Linked DNA regions of Arabidopsis thaliana. The protein of the gene in region 1 interacts with the protein of each later gene in a biochemical or structural test. Each region holds a gene or a part of one and is shown in the gene's direction. Other genes may lie near its edges.

The links.
Region 2: the proteins of ckl4 (region 1) and CRY2 form a complex in vitro, tested with the Arabidopsis thaliana proteins (one study listed by BioGRID).

What each region holds. Positions count from the first base shown.
Region 1 is NC_003075.7:14,244,096-14,250,428, forward strand, and holds ckl4 (casein kinase I-like 4), read left to right. Parts: upstream 1-2,164; 5' UTR 2,165-2,263; coding exon 2,264-2,339; intron 2,340-2,417; coding exon 2,418-2,458; intron 2,459-2,636; coding exon 2,637-2,706; intron 2,707-2,791; coding exon 2,792-2,940; intron 2,941-3,060; coding exon 3,061-3,227; intron 3,228-3,349; coding exon 3,350-3,411; intron 3,412-3,488; coding exon 3,489-3,552; intron 3,553-3,690; coding exon 3,691-3,775; intron 3,776-3,853; coding exon 3,854-3,980; intron 3,981-4,075; coding exon 4,076-4,152; intron 4,153-4,325; coding exon 4,326-4,383; intron 4,384-4,567; coding exon 4,568-4,695; coding exon of another isoform or gene 4,696-4,728; exon of another isoform or gene 4,729-4,961; coding exon 4,962-5,102; 3' UTR 5,103-5,777; downstream 5,778-6,333. Other genes in the region: XTH26 (xyloglucan endotransglucosylase/hydrolase 26), read left to right, coding at 241-412, 538-638, 761-954, 1,275-1,686; AT4G28870 (mutator transposase MUDRA protein), read left to right, coding at 6,326-6,333.
Region 2 is NC_003070.9:1,184,745-1,190,619, reverse strand, and holds CRY2 (cryptochrome 2), read left to right. Parts: upstream 1-1,923; 5' UTR 1,924-2,433; intron 2,434-2,546; exon of another isoform or gene 2,547-2,613; 5' UTR 2,614-2,718; coding exon 2,719-3,031; intron 3,032-3,135; coding exon 3,136-3,360; intron 3,361-3,455; coding exon 3,456-4,168; intron 4,169-4,313; coding exon 4,314-4,901; 3' UTR 4,902-5,108; downstream 5,109-5,875. Other genes in the region: c-NAD-MDH1 (Lactate/malate dehydrogenase family protein), read left to right, coding at 1-155, 313-590, 680-815, 908-1,019, 1,108-1,202.

The sequences.
Region 1 (6,333 bases):
CTTTCCAGGATAGCATTTTCTTTATATTAAAGAAGTTAGTTCTTTAATTGTTATGTTGTCTAATTCATGCATACAAAGTTCATTAGATGCACGTCAATTGTCAAAACTCTATACTTTTTGGACTACGTCAAAATTTCGATTTCTTAGAAGTTATATATAAAGAAAGCCTTACTGACAAACAAATGGTGATCGAATAGAGTTCCAATCCAAAACATTCCAAACACAAATCAAATTCGTAAGATGGCGGGTCTTCAAGCGAAGACGTTAATGTTCGTTCTGGCAGCTGCCTTAGCGACTCTTGGTCGCACATTTGTGGAGGCAGACTTCAGTAAGAATTTTATTGTTACATGGGGTAAAGATCACATGTTCATGAATGGTACCAACCTTCGACTTGTCCTAGACAAATCTGCAGGTATATAGTAATCTTATAACACAATAACTTTAAAATCAGTCCATTTAATTTTAGTCTATTATTTCATGAGAAACTTGATAGATAAACATGTATAACTGTTTTTATGTTTTTGTTTGTTTTTGCAGGATCTGCTATTAAATCAAAGGTGGCTCATTTGTTTGGAAGCGTAGAAATGCTCATCAAACTTGTGCCAGGGAATTCTGCTGGAACCGTTGCAGCCTATTACGTAAAATTTTCTTTTGAACTCGATCGATAGAATTACAAAAAAAATAAAAAAAAATAGAATCAATACGCAATTCTTTTATATATAGAAAAATTAGATTAATGTTTTCAGATTTTTCTTTGTAGTTATCGTCTACGGGAAGTACACACGATGAGATAGACTTCGAGTTCCTAGGAAATGCGACTGGTCAGCCGTACACGATCCACACCAACTTATATGCTCAAGGGAAAGGAAACCGCGAACAACAATTCCGGCCATGGTTCAACCCGACCAATGGTTTCCACAACTATACCATCCATTGGAACCCATCCGAAGTTGTGTAAGTAATTAACTTATGGCTATGGCGGTTTCTTAAGTACTTTATAAAAACTCCAAACAAATGCTAAGAAATGGTACTTTCTATCAATGAAATACCACATCAAAAAAACTTAAGTAAGATTAAATGTTACTTAGATAGTTTAGTTTGTTACTGTAAAACAACATTAAAGTACAAACACTTCATGATGAATTTTTCTTTTAGTTCCTTAATGTTTTCGAACCTTCAAACCAAAAAAACTTTAGGAATCTCAAACGATTATATGTTTTTATTTCCTTTCTATAAATAAACGTGTCGCACACCATGTTGTATATCTTATATAGGTGGTTCGTCGATGGAACTCCGATCAGAGTTTTTAGAAACTACGAAAGTGAAGGAATCGCATACCCGAACAAGCAAGGTATGAAAGTGTTTGCGAGTCTATGGAACGCAGAAGACTGGGCAACACAAGGAGGTCGAGTGAAGACTAACTGGACGCTAGCACCATTTGTGGCCGAGGGTCGTAGGTACAAGGCAAGAGCTTGTTTGTGGAAGGGATCAGTCAGCATCAAGCAATGTGTAGATCCAACTATACGGTCTAATTGGTGGACATCACCATCATTTAGTCAGCTCACTGCTTCGCAGCTGACGAAGATGCAAAAGATAAGAGATGGTTTCATGATCTATGATTATTGCAAGGACACTAACAGATTTAAAGGTGTTATGCCTCCGGAATGCTCGAAGAAGCAATTCTAATTCAAGTTTCCGGCCAGCGGGCGGAACGAGGAGAGGCTCCGGCAATCATAGCACCGCGGTCGAGGTTAATGGGGACGGACTGTAAATTCGTTTTTCATTATTTTTTTTAATAATTTATTTTTCTGAATTGTTTTTGTGAGGATTTTTGTGTGTCTTTGATTCATTGATAACTCGAATGAGCAATCATGATGAAGAAGAAGAAGTTTTTTTTTTTCCATTTTTTCTTTGTTAAAATCCTATACAAAAAAAAACAAATTCAAAAGCTAAAACCCTAGTAAAAAGAGACAAAATCCAATACAAAATTATCCCCAAAATTATCCATATTTAGACACATTGCGTTGACTTTAGAACTAGTGGATTAGAAACTCCACCGGTCCTACGTGGCAACTAAATTTCAGTCCACGTCACCGACACACAAATTTTCTTAGCCTTACTATACCATACAATTTACGTTAATGCCCCTATTGTCTCATCTATTCGCAAATTTCAACTCTCAAATTCAACGAAGTAAAAAAGCCCTAAATTGATATCTCTATCCCTTGCGCATGATCCAGATTCGGTTGTGATCGGAGCTGCCATGGAACGTATCATCGGCGGCAAGTACAAGCTCGGACGGAAGATTGGCGGTGGTTCCTTTGGAGAGATTTTCCTAGGTGTGTTCTCGTTGATTCTCGAGTTTTGTTCTTCTTCTTTGGTTTGAAATTGACGTACCTTGTTTGTTGATTTCGCAGCTACGCACATCGATACCTTCGAGATTGTAGCTGTTAAGATCGTAAGTTTCAATTGAATCAGCTATTAAACGAATCTACTCTGGGAATTTTGTATCATGTTCATTGTTTCGTGTGGTTCTTTGAATTGATTAACTCTAAATTTATCAGTCAAGCTCCTTGAAATGGTACTTTTTAGCTGACAATTTGTCTTTAACTCAGATCATTTGGATTGTTTTGCAGGAGAACAGTAAAACAAAACATCCTCAGCTTCTCTATGAAGCTAAGCTATATAGAACTCTTGAAGGAGGAAGTATGTTTCTCATTCCTATCTTTTCCCATTCTGTCGTTGTTGGTCATTGGAGGGATTGATTATCAGTACAATGCTCATTTTGCAGGTGGAATTCCGCGCATAAGATGGTTTGGAGTTGATGGAACAGAGAATGCTTTAGTGATGGATTTGCTCGGTCCAAGTCTCGAAGATCTTTTCGTCTACTGTGGGAGAAAATTTTCACCAAAGACGGTCTTGATGTTGGCTGATCAAATGGTATGGCATGAGTTTTAATCACATTTATTGCGTCTGGTTCTGTTTAAATACTAATCATTTCTCTTGAGTTATACATTTATCATCTAATGTGCTTATGATTTTCTTATTCCGATTTTACAGCTAACTAGAATAGAATATGTACATTCCAAAGGATATCTGCATAGAGATATAAAACCAGATAACTTTCTCATGGGCCTAGGCCGCAAAGCGAATCAGGTTTATCTAATTGACTTTGGACTGGCCAAAAGATATCGTGATGCCAACACCAACCGCCACATCCCTTATAGGTATTTGTGGCCATGGTTCATTATATTGTGTCTACCATCTGGAGGTGGTAAATTATCTTATCTGTTATAAGTTTTTAAGGTCACATTATACAACTTATTACCTTTTATTTGGTTGTATTCAGGGAAAACAAGAATTTAACAGGAACTGCACGATATGCAAGTTGCAATACACATCTTGGTATTGGTAAGGAATGCTGCCACTTTTTTCTCCCCTTTGTGAAGTAAAGTTTTTGCTCACATATTTCGATTTCTCTTTCGCAGAGCAAGGTAGACGGGATGACCTAGAGTCTCTTGGATATGTGCTTCTGTACTTCTTAAGAGGAAGGTGTGTTGACTTTTTGACTTGAAAGAACCTAGTTAACATTGTGTTTTTGGCAGGGTATTGTTTTTCCTTGTTTGAGATTTACTTAACCGTTTTCTTGCTTTACATTTTGTTCCTATTTTAATGAACCTCCTTTTCTAGCCTTCCATGGCAGGGTCTTAAGGCTGTTGACAAGAAGCAAAAGTATGACAAAATTTGTGAGAAGAAGATATCAACTCCTATTGAGGTCTATTTCCCTCTACTGTGTGAGTGAATTGTTTTTTGTTAATCCTCATTCAACTGAATAATATCCCATCCTTTGTAGGTTCTATGCAAAAGCCACCCCGTGGAGTTTGCTTCATATTTTCATTATTGCCACACACTGACATTTGATCAACGCCCTGATTATGGATTCTTGAAGCGGCTTTTTCGTGATTTATTCTCACGGGAAGGTACTTTGAGAAAGACATCCCTCCATCATTTTTATAATCCTCTCTGCTAGCATCAGTTATCTACCTAGCTCACTTAAACGTTTTCTTCTTTGCAGGATATGAGTTTGACTATATATATGACTGGACTATTATAAAGTATCAGCAATCACAGAAAACTAGAAGTCAGTCTCAGGTATAGTTTATCAATACCATTTGTTATTTTTTTTTCTCCAGGTGTATGCATATTTTGTCTTGTTCATAGAGAAGATTTCCTGGGGAGAAGTTTTACTTGGTTTTGCTATTTTTTAGTTTTGGTGCTAAATATAGATATGCCTGTCTTCCTAACAATAAACTGTCATGCTGCAGGCCGTTCCTGGGTCTAGTAATGCTCGTGCAATACCAATGGACACAAGCAATCATCGAGGTCAGCTCGAGTTATAAATTTTAATTGTGTCACTTTCTGATTAATTTTGTAATAGTATATGATGTGTTTTTTGTTTTCTCTCGACTTTCACACTGGACTCAACTGGCATAGAGTGTTTGGCTGATTTAGTTTCCCGTTGCAACTGTTTATTTCAATATCTTGATGCTAACTCTCCGTTTGGCAGGAGGAACTAAGATTTCACATGAAGCCCAAGTCTCTGACCGTGTCAGACCGGCTAATGCCAGTGGTCCAAGCCCACAGATTAATACCGCTGTAGGGAGGAGTCTGGGTTTTGATCAAGTCCACAAGAATGTACGTGCTTATTCATTTGCCTCTTCCAAATAAATGTTGTATCCTGCAACCCTCCCCCTTGTGTTAGCATCTCATGCCTGCATCTGTGTTGCTTCAGAGTTCTGCATGGTTCTCTGCTTAAAGCTTTTACCTGTTTTGCATGGTCAATTGTCATCAACGAGCTCTATATTGTGATATGAACTACATATAGCATAAATGATTAAAACACGATACTGATCATCACGAAATATGCTCTTGACCATTATTTTACTGAAAACCCATTGCAGATGAACATGCCATCATCCACTTCATTATCTCCTGCGGGTACCTCAAAAAGAAATGTCAGACCCGAAACCTCAAATTCTGGGTTTGGGAGCGGGAATAAAACCGGCGGTTGGACTTCACCATTCATGTCACCGGGGAAATGATGCAAAAAAAGTTGGAGTATATCATTCATCTGATCTGCTGAGCAAGATTATGTGTGCCTTTGGGTCTAAACTGTGATTTCTGCAGTGAAAAGCTCTAGACTGAGGTTGAAGATCTGAATGGAGTTTTTCCATGAACAGCTTACTGTTTGACAAAAGGCATGAAGATTATGTTTGCTTTCCTTCAAGATTCTCACAAATGACTGACTTCAACCTTTGTATAAAATCTTGCAACCGGGCGTGTAATTTGGTTCTTGTGATTCATTCTCCCAAGTTTTCTTCTATAAAACTTTGTTCGTATTTCTGTACGTAGTTCCCTGTGTTGGGGCATAACCTGGGTTTGCTGTGTCATCAACATTGTTTGCAGAAAATCAAGAGCAAAGCATGAGCAGCTTCAGCAGAGATGCCTTCAAAGGCTTGAGTCAAGAGTTGCTTGTGGCAGGGACATGTCACCATCAAGCTAATGTGCAGCTGACGAGAACGTAAAAGGATAAGCTATGGCTAGCTTCTGGAATGCTCCGAGAAACACTTCCCCCTTTTTTTTTCTCTGAATTTCCTATTCAGTTTAATGGTATTCTGTGTTTGATTTTTCTTACTCGATTTTGTGCATTGAAAAAAATTATATCAAAAAGCTTGACTTGATCCAAACATGCATTTTCAATTGCTATTATTAAAAAAAAAAAACGTATAAAATTGTAGTCTCAATATTGAAATACAAACACCTAGAATTGATCGATTTGGTAGAGAACTAGTTAGTGGATTAAATTTGGGTTGGCTGATTTTCGAGCCATAAACTATTTCGATTCTCAGCTTTCACACCCGGACTTTTGGGCCTTTAAATTTCCACCATCAACTTTCATATTCCCAAAATTACATCATCTATTTTTGGATTCATGCTTAAACATACATTTCCAATTGAACCATTCATTTAACCGGGATTAACCACAAATCCGCGTTTACTGTACCGCGATTGCGATTAACCCAACTAATACCCAGACCCGTTAAGAAAACGACGTCGTTTTCATTTCGTTTAACTCATCAAAAAGAGAAAGAAAACGACGTCGTTTTCATTCTTCTTCTTTAACTCTCAAATCGATTTAGTCGTTCTTCTTTAATCTCGACACTGTGAAATTAGGGTTCTTGAGAGAGAAAGACAAAAGGGGATTTGGGGTTTTCTTCTTCGGTTCGAATTTTTGGGTCTCGATTTGGGTTTCGAATAGGGAGAAATGAAGAA
Region 2 (5,875 bases), on another chromosome or scaffold:
CCGTTGAGGGATGTACTGGAGTCAATGTTGCTGTTATGGTTGGTGGTTTCCCGAGGAAAGAAGGTATGGAGAGGAAGGATGTGATGTCCAAGAATGTTTCCATCTACAAGTCTCAGGCTGCTGCCTTGGAGAAGCATGCCGCTCCTAACTGCAAGGTGATACGATCTGTTTGCTTTTTAAGTTAAATGAAGCCACTGCATCCAATCTTCTCTGTTCATTGGAGTGTAACAGATGCTTTGTGTTCTCTATTGGGTTCTAGTTTACGACTCTCTTGCTCACACATTCGCTCTCGTTTTGTCTTTTTTTTTTCAGGTTCTTGTTGTGGCCAACCCGGCAAACACCAACGCATTGATCCTCAAGGAATTTGCACCATCAATCCCTGAAAAGAACATCTCTTGTTTGACAAGGCTTGACCACAACAGGGCTTTGGGACAGATCTCTGAGAGGTTGAGCGTGCCAGTGTCTGATGTTAAGAACGTGATCATCTGGGGAAACCACTCATCCTCACAGTACCCAGATGTCAACCATGCTAAAGTGCAGACCTCGTCTGGAGAGAAGCCTGTCCGTGAGCTCGTCAAGGACGATGCATGGTATGTATAACATGCCATAGAACTTAAGACCCTTTCTCTTCTCTGGAAGCAAAATCTAGTTTCACTTAAATATATTGCTCATTCTGTAGGTTGGACGGAGAATTTATCTCTACAGTTCAACAACGTGGAGCTGCAATCATCAAGGCGAGGAAGTTGTCTAGTGCGCTCTCTGCTGCTAGCTCTGCTTGTGACCACATCCGTGACTGGGTCCTTGGAACTCCAGAGGTTCATAATAAAACTCTTCCCCGTTATTTGCAGTGCTGTTTTTTTGTAACAGTTAATCTAATATGAGTTCTTTCTTTGATTCAAATTGTCAGGGTACGTTCGTTTCCATGGGAGTATACTCCGATGGCTCTTACAGCGTTCCATCAGGACTTATCTACTCCTTCCCTGTAACTTGTCGCAATGGAGACTGGAGTATTGTCCAAGGTAAATATGACGCACTTACAAACTCAAATGCTCATCAATTATGAAATCCTAGATTCTGCAGACCCTAATGTGTATTTTGTTTGGTTAGGCCTTCCGATTGATGAAGTATCAAGGAAGAAGATGGATTTGACTGCAGAGGAGCTCAAGGAAGAGAAGGACTTGGCGTACTCATGCCTCTCTTAAACCCTTCTGGAGCAAAATTTTCATCTATAAGGTGTGAGATCAGTTAAAGCCTTTCAGGGCTTTGTCCGAATAAGAAGTGTGTTTGAAAGATCTCCAAACACTGTTTTATAACCTCTTTGGTCTCTTTGATGAGTATTGTCCCTGGTCTGTTTCTAAACCAGGATATCGTTTTTTTCAATGTGTCTGATTTGGTTTACCCATGAAAAGAAGAAAATTGGCAGTTGCATGGTTATCTTTTGCGATTATTTTTTTCTGCTTTAGCAATTAGCCCAAAATTGATGAGCTCTTCGATAATGGGTTTGTGCAATTGTGATTTGTGAGGAATGGTGTTATTGTGTTGCAATTGCAAAAAGAAATGCTACTCTTGCAGATTCATACCAAAACCAAATCACTAGATTAAACTGAAATTCTAATGTGGATTATTTTAATTTTACTTCTATTTTTCTTCACCCAAATATTTTATAACCAAACACCAAGTTGACACCAAAATATACATCCAAAAAACTTAGATTGCTTCTATTTTACGACTATCCGAAATCGAATCATAAACCGTAGGCAATGGTCCATTAATAAGGGGTATACGAGGATTCAAAGTTTGAGAGAACTTTTTTATCTTTACCTTTTTCCTTTTGTAAAGTAAAAGCAGTGGATTTTGATTATAGATTCTACTTGGTAATGACTAATGAGAATCAAGTTCTCACCTTTAAGCCATATAGACTTTAGATATTTAATGGATTCTACAAAAGTGGGCATGACCAGAATCGAGTTCATGAACCACCGTCCTCGGCCCCAACGTTAAAAAACTTTTTTCTCTAGCATAAGAAGATAAGAGTATCTTCACTGCGCTTTAGGCCCACTCAACATTCAAACAAAATTCGATCTCTTATAAAAAAATATCTCACAAGAGAAAGTTCGTACATGATCCCGATAAAATCGTAGATGAGCAAATCAAAGATGAGATGTCGGTAAAAAAAACGCTATTATAAGAACACACGCCACTAGTTGTGGATAAAGTTGTCTACTTTTGTCTCGTTGTGATTATTATATTGCACAATTATTAACATTCATACTCTCATATGGGTATTGTTTTTGGTCTCCGTTAGATCTCAAATCTTTAACTTTGCATACCCAAAATAGGAAGAAAGAAGAGTCAAGTCACTAAAATAACTTTCACAGTCTTTGATTCGAAGATCTTTGTCGCCGAGAGATATCCACTCTGATTTGAGTTCTGGTAAAAAGTTTCCAGCTTTTGATTTTTGTTTCTCTCAATTGAATTTCTCTTGCTTGCTCTGTTTAAAAGGATTAGGATTAAATCGAATCTCTCTCTGTTATGTTTTTTTGTAGATTATTTTGGATTTTAGGACTCAAAGATTACAGATTTCTTATCAATCATTCTCTGTTATTGTTATAGAACTATTCTCTGGAGGAGGTTGAGGTCTGAAATCATGGAACAACTTGGTTAGAGTGTGGAATTTTAGCTGATTTGATCTTTGATTCATCTGTGATCATAATAACTATGAAGATGGACAAAAAGACTATAGTTTGGTTTAGAAGAGACCTAAGGATTGAGGATAATCCTGCATTAGCAGCAGCTGCTCACGAAGGATCTGTTTTTCCTGTCTTCATTTGGTGTCCTGAAGAAGAAGGACAGTTTTATCCTGGAAGAGCTTCAAGATGGTGGATGAAACAATCACTTGCTCACTTATCTCAATCCTTGAAGGCTCTTGGATCTGACCTCACTTTAATCAAAACCCACAACACGATTTCAGCGATCTTGGATTGTATCCGCGTTACCGGTGCTACAAAAGTCGTCTTTAACCACCTCTATGGTATATACTCTTTCATCTCTTATTCAAAGGATATATATTCTTATTAAGTTAGTGTAGTCTAAGTGCAACTGAGGTTGATGCGATCACGTTTTTCTTTGTTGTAGATCCTGTTTCGTTAGTTCGGGACCATACCGTAAAGGAGAAGCTGGTGGAACGTGGGATCTCTGTGCAAAGCTACAATGGAGATCTATTGTATGAACCGTGGGAGATATACTGCGAAAAGGGCAAACCTTTTACGAGTTTCAATTCTTACTGGAAGAAATGCTTAGATATGTCGATTGAATCCGTTATGCTTCCTCCTCCTTGGCGGTTGATGCCAATAACTGCAGGTAAAACCTTAAAGAGTATTACTTAAAAGCTAAAACGTTTTTGATTTCTTCAGGACATAAGCGGTAGTAAAAGTTTATGGCTTTTTCTTTGTTAGCGGCTGAAGCGATTTGGGCGTGTTCGATTGAAGAACTAGGGCTGGAGAATGAGGCCGAGAAACCGAGCAATGCGTTGTTAACTAGAGCTTGGTCTCCAGGATGGAGCAATGCTGATAAGTTACTAAATGAGTTCATCGAGAAGCAGTTGATAGATTATGCAAAGAACAGCAAGAAAGTTGTTGGGAATTCTACTTCACTACTTTCTCCGTATCTCCATTTCGGGGAAATAAGCGTCAGACACGTTTTCCAGTGTGCCCGGATGAAACAAATTATATGGGCAAGAGATAAGAACAGTGAAGGAGAAGAAAGTGCAGATCTTTTTCTTAGGGGAATCGGTTTAAGAGAGTATTCTCGGTATATATGTTTCAACTTCCCGTTTACTCACGAGCAATCGTTGTTGAGTCATCTTCGGTTTTTCCCTTGGGATGCTGATGTTGATAAGTTCAAGGCCTGGAGACAAGGCAGGACCGGTTATCCGTTGGTGGATGCCGGAATGAGAGAGCTTTGGGCTACCGGATGGATGCATAACAGAATAAGAGTGATTGTTTCAAGCTTTGCTGTGAAGTTTCTTCTCCTTCCATGGAAATGGGGAATGAAGTATTTCTGGGATACACTTTTGGATGCTGATTTGGAATGTGACATCCTTGGCTGGCAGTATATCTCTGGGAGTATCCCCGATGGCCACGAGCTTGATCGCTTGGACAATCCCGCGGTAAACTACAAAACTTGTCTTATAGTTTAGAATTCAAAGCTTAATACCAGTTTTTGCTATGCATTCGTTTTTTATTTTATTTTTCAGCTTATTTGGTTTGGTTGATTTAGTTCTGAAGTCTATGAAAACTCTGTTTTTATTTCAGTTACAAGGCGCCAAATATGACCCAGAAGGTGAGTACATAAGGCAATGGCTTCCCGAGCTTGCGAGATTGCCAACTGAATGGATCCATCATCCATGGGACGCTCCTTTAACCGTACTCAAAGCTTCTGGTGTGGAACTCGGAACAAACTATGCGAAACCCATTGTAGACATCGACACAGCTCGTGAGCTACTAGCTAAAGCTATTTCAAGAACCCGTGAAGCACAGATCATGATCGGAGCAGCACCTGATGAGATTGTAGCAGATAGCTTCGAGGCCTTAGGGGCTAATACCATTAAAGAACCTGGTCTTTGCCCATCTGTGTCTTCTAATGACCAACAAGTACCTTCGGCTGTTCGTTACAACGGGTCAAAGAGAGTGAAACCTGAGGAAGAAGAAGAGAGAGACATGAAGAAATCTAGGGGATTCGATGAAAGGGAGTTGTTTTCGACTGCTGAATCTTCTTCTTCTTCGAGTGTGTTTTTCGTTTCGCAGTCTTGCTCGTTGGCATCAGAAGGGAAGAATCTGGAAGGTATTCAAGATTCATCTGATCAGATTACTACAAGTTTGGGAAAAAATGGTTGCAAATGATCAAAATAATGTGCTGTTATAAAGCCTAACATGTAGATGTGTGAATGTGTCTTTTAACTCTTTGTTTCCTTTTGGTTATACTCAAAAGGATATGATTGCATAAACATATAATGCTGATATTATTTCAATTGGCTATGAATAAAATATACATATTTGTTTAGTCTTTGAATTTGTTTCATCTGAGTTGTTTAGTTTGAGGAAAAAGATAACGGCCAATTTATATTTCTTTATAAAGAAAAGAAAGGAAATCTCGATACACGACGTTTTTATATGAAACAAATGCAGTTGGAAATAAAAGTAACAAATCATTGGTCTAAAAACCCCAATGAAAAATAGTAACTAAATGACTGAATACTACGGTAAGATTTTTTTAATTTCTATAAAAATATAAGATTTTTTTTGATGATTAAAATATTTTTTTATAATCAATTACAAATAATTATCATATCTTGAAAACAACAAGAATTTTTTTGATATAATAAAAATATTAAATTAAATTACAAAAATAAACGATACTAGAATTATATTTCATTGAAATTTCTTATATATATATATAGCTGATATTTTAATACAATTATTAATTTATGATATTGATGGGACTATATGTTTACATAGGATTTTCAAAAAAAAAATATTTTATTAATTTATCGATTTGTATCGCTTTTTACACTAGTCCCAAATACTGAAAGAATTTATTATTTTATAAAAATGATTAATTTATCGAATATTAATTTATAAAGGTTTTACTGTACTTGCATGGCACAACAACGAGAAAAAGTCCACGCGATAAAGCTTCAATGTCAGGAATCATCAGGCGTCGAAATGTTTGACAATGGCATCGGTTTCGTCCAGAGAGGAGTCGACGGGGCCTGGATGAGGGTCGACGTAATCGGAATTGTCGTGGAAAAGAGAGTAGAAGCAAGATCCGATTCGGATAACGTCTTCTTTACTATCAGTTTTGGTTCGTAACCATT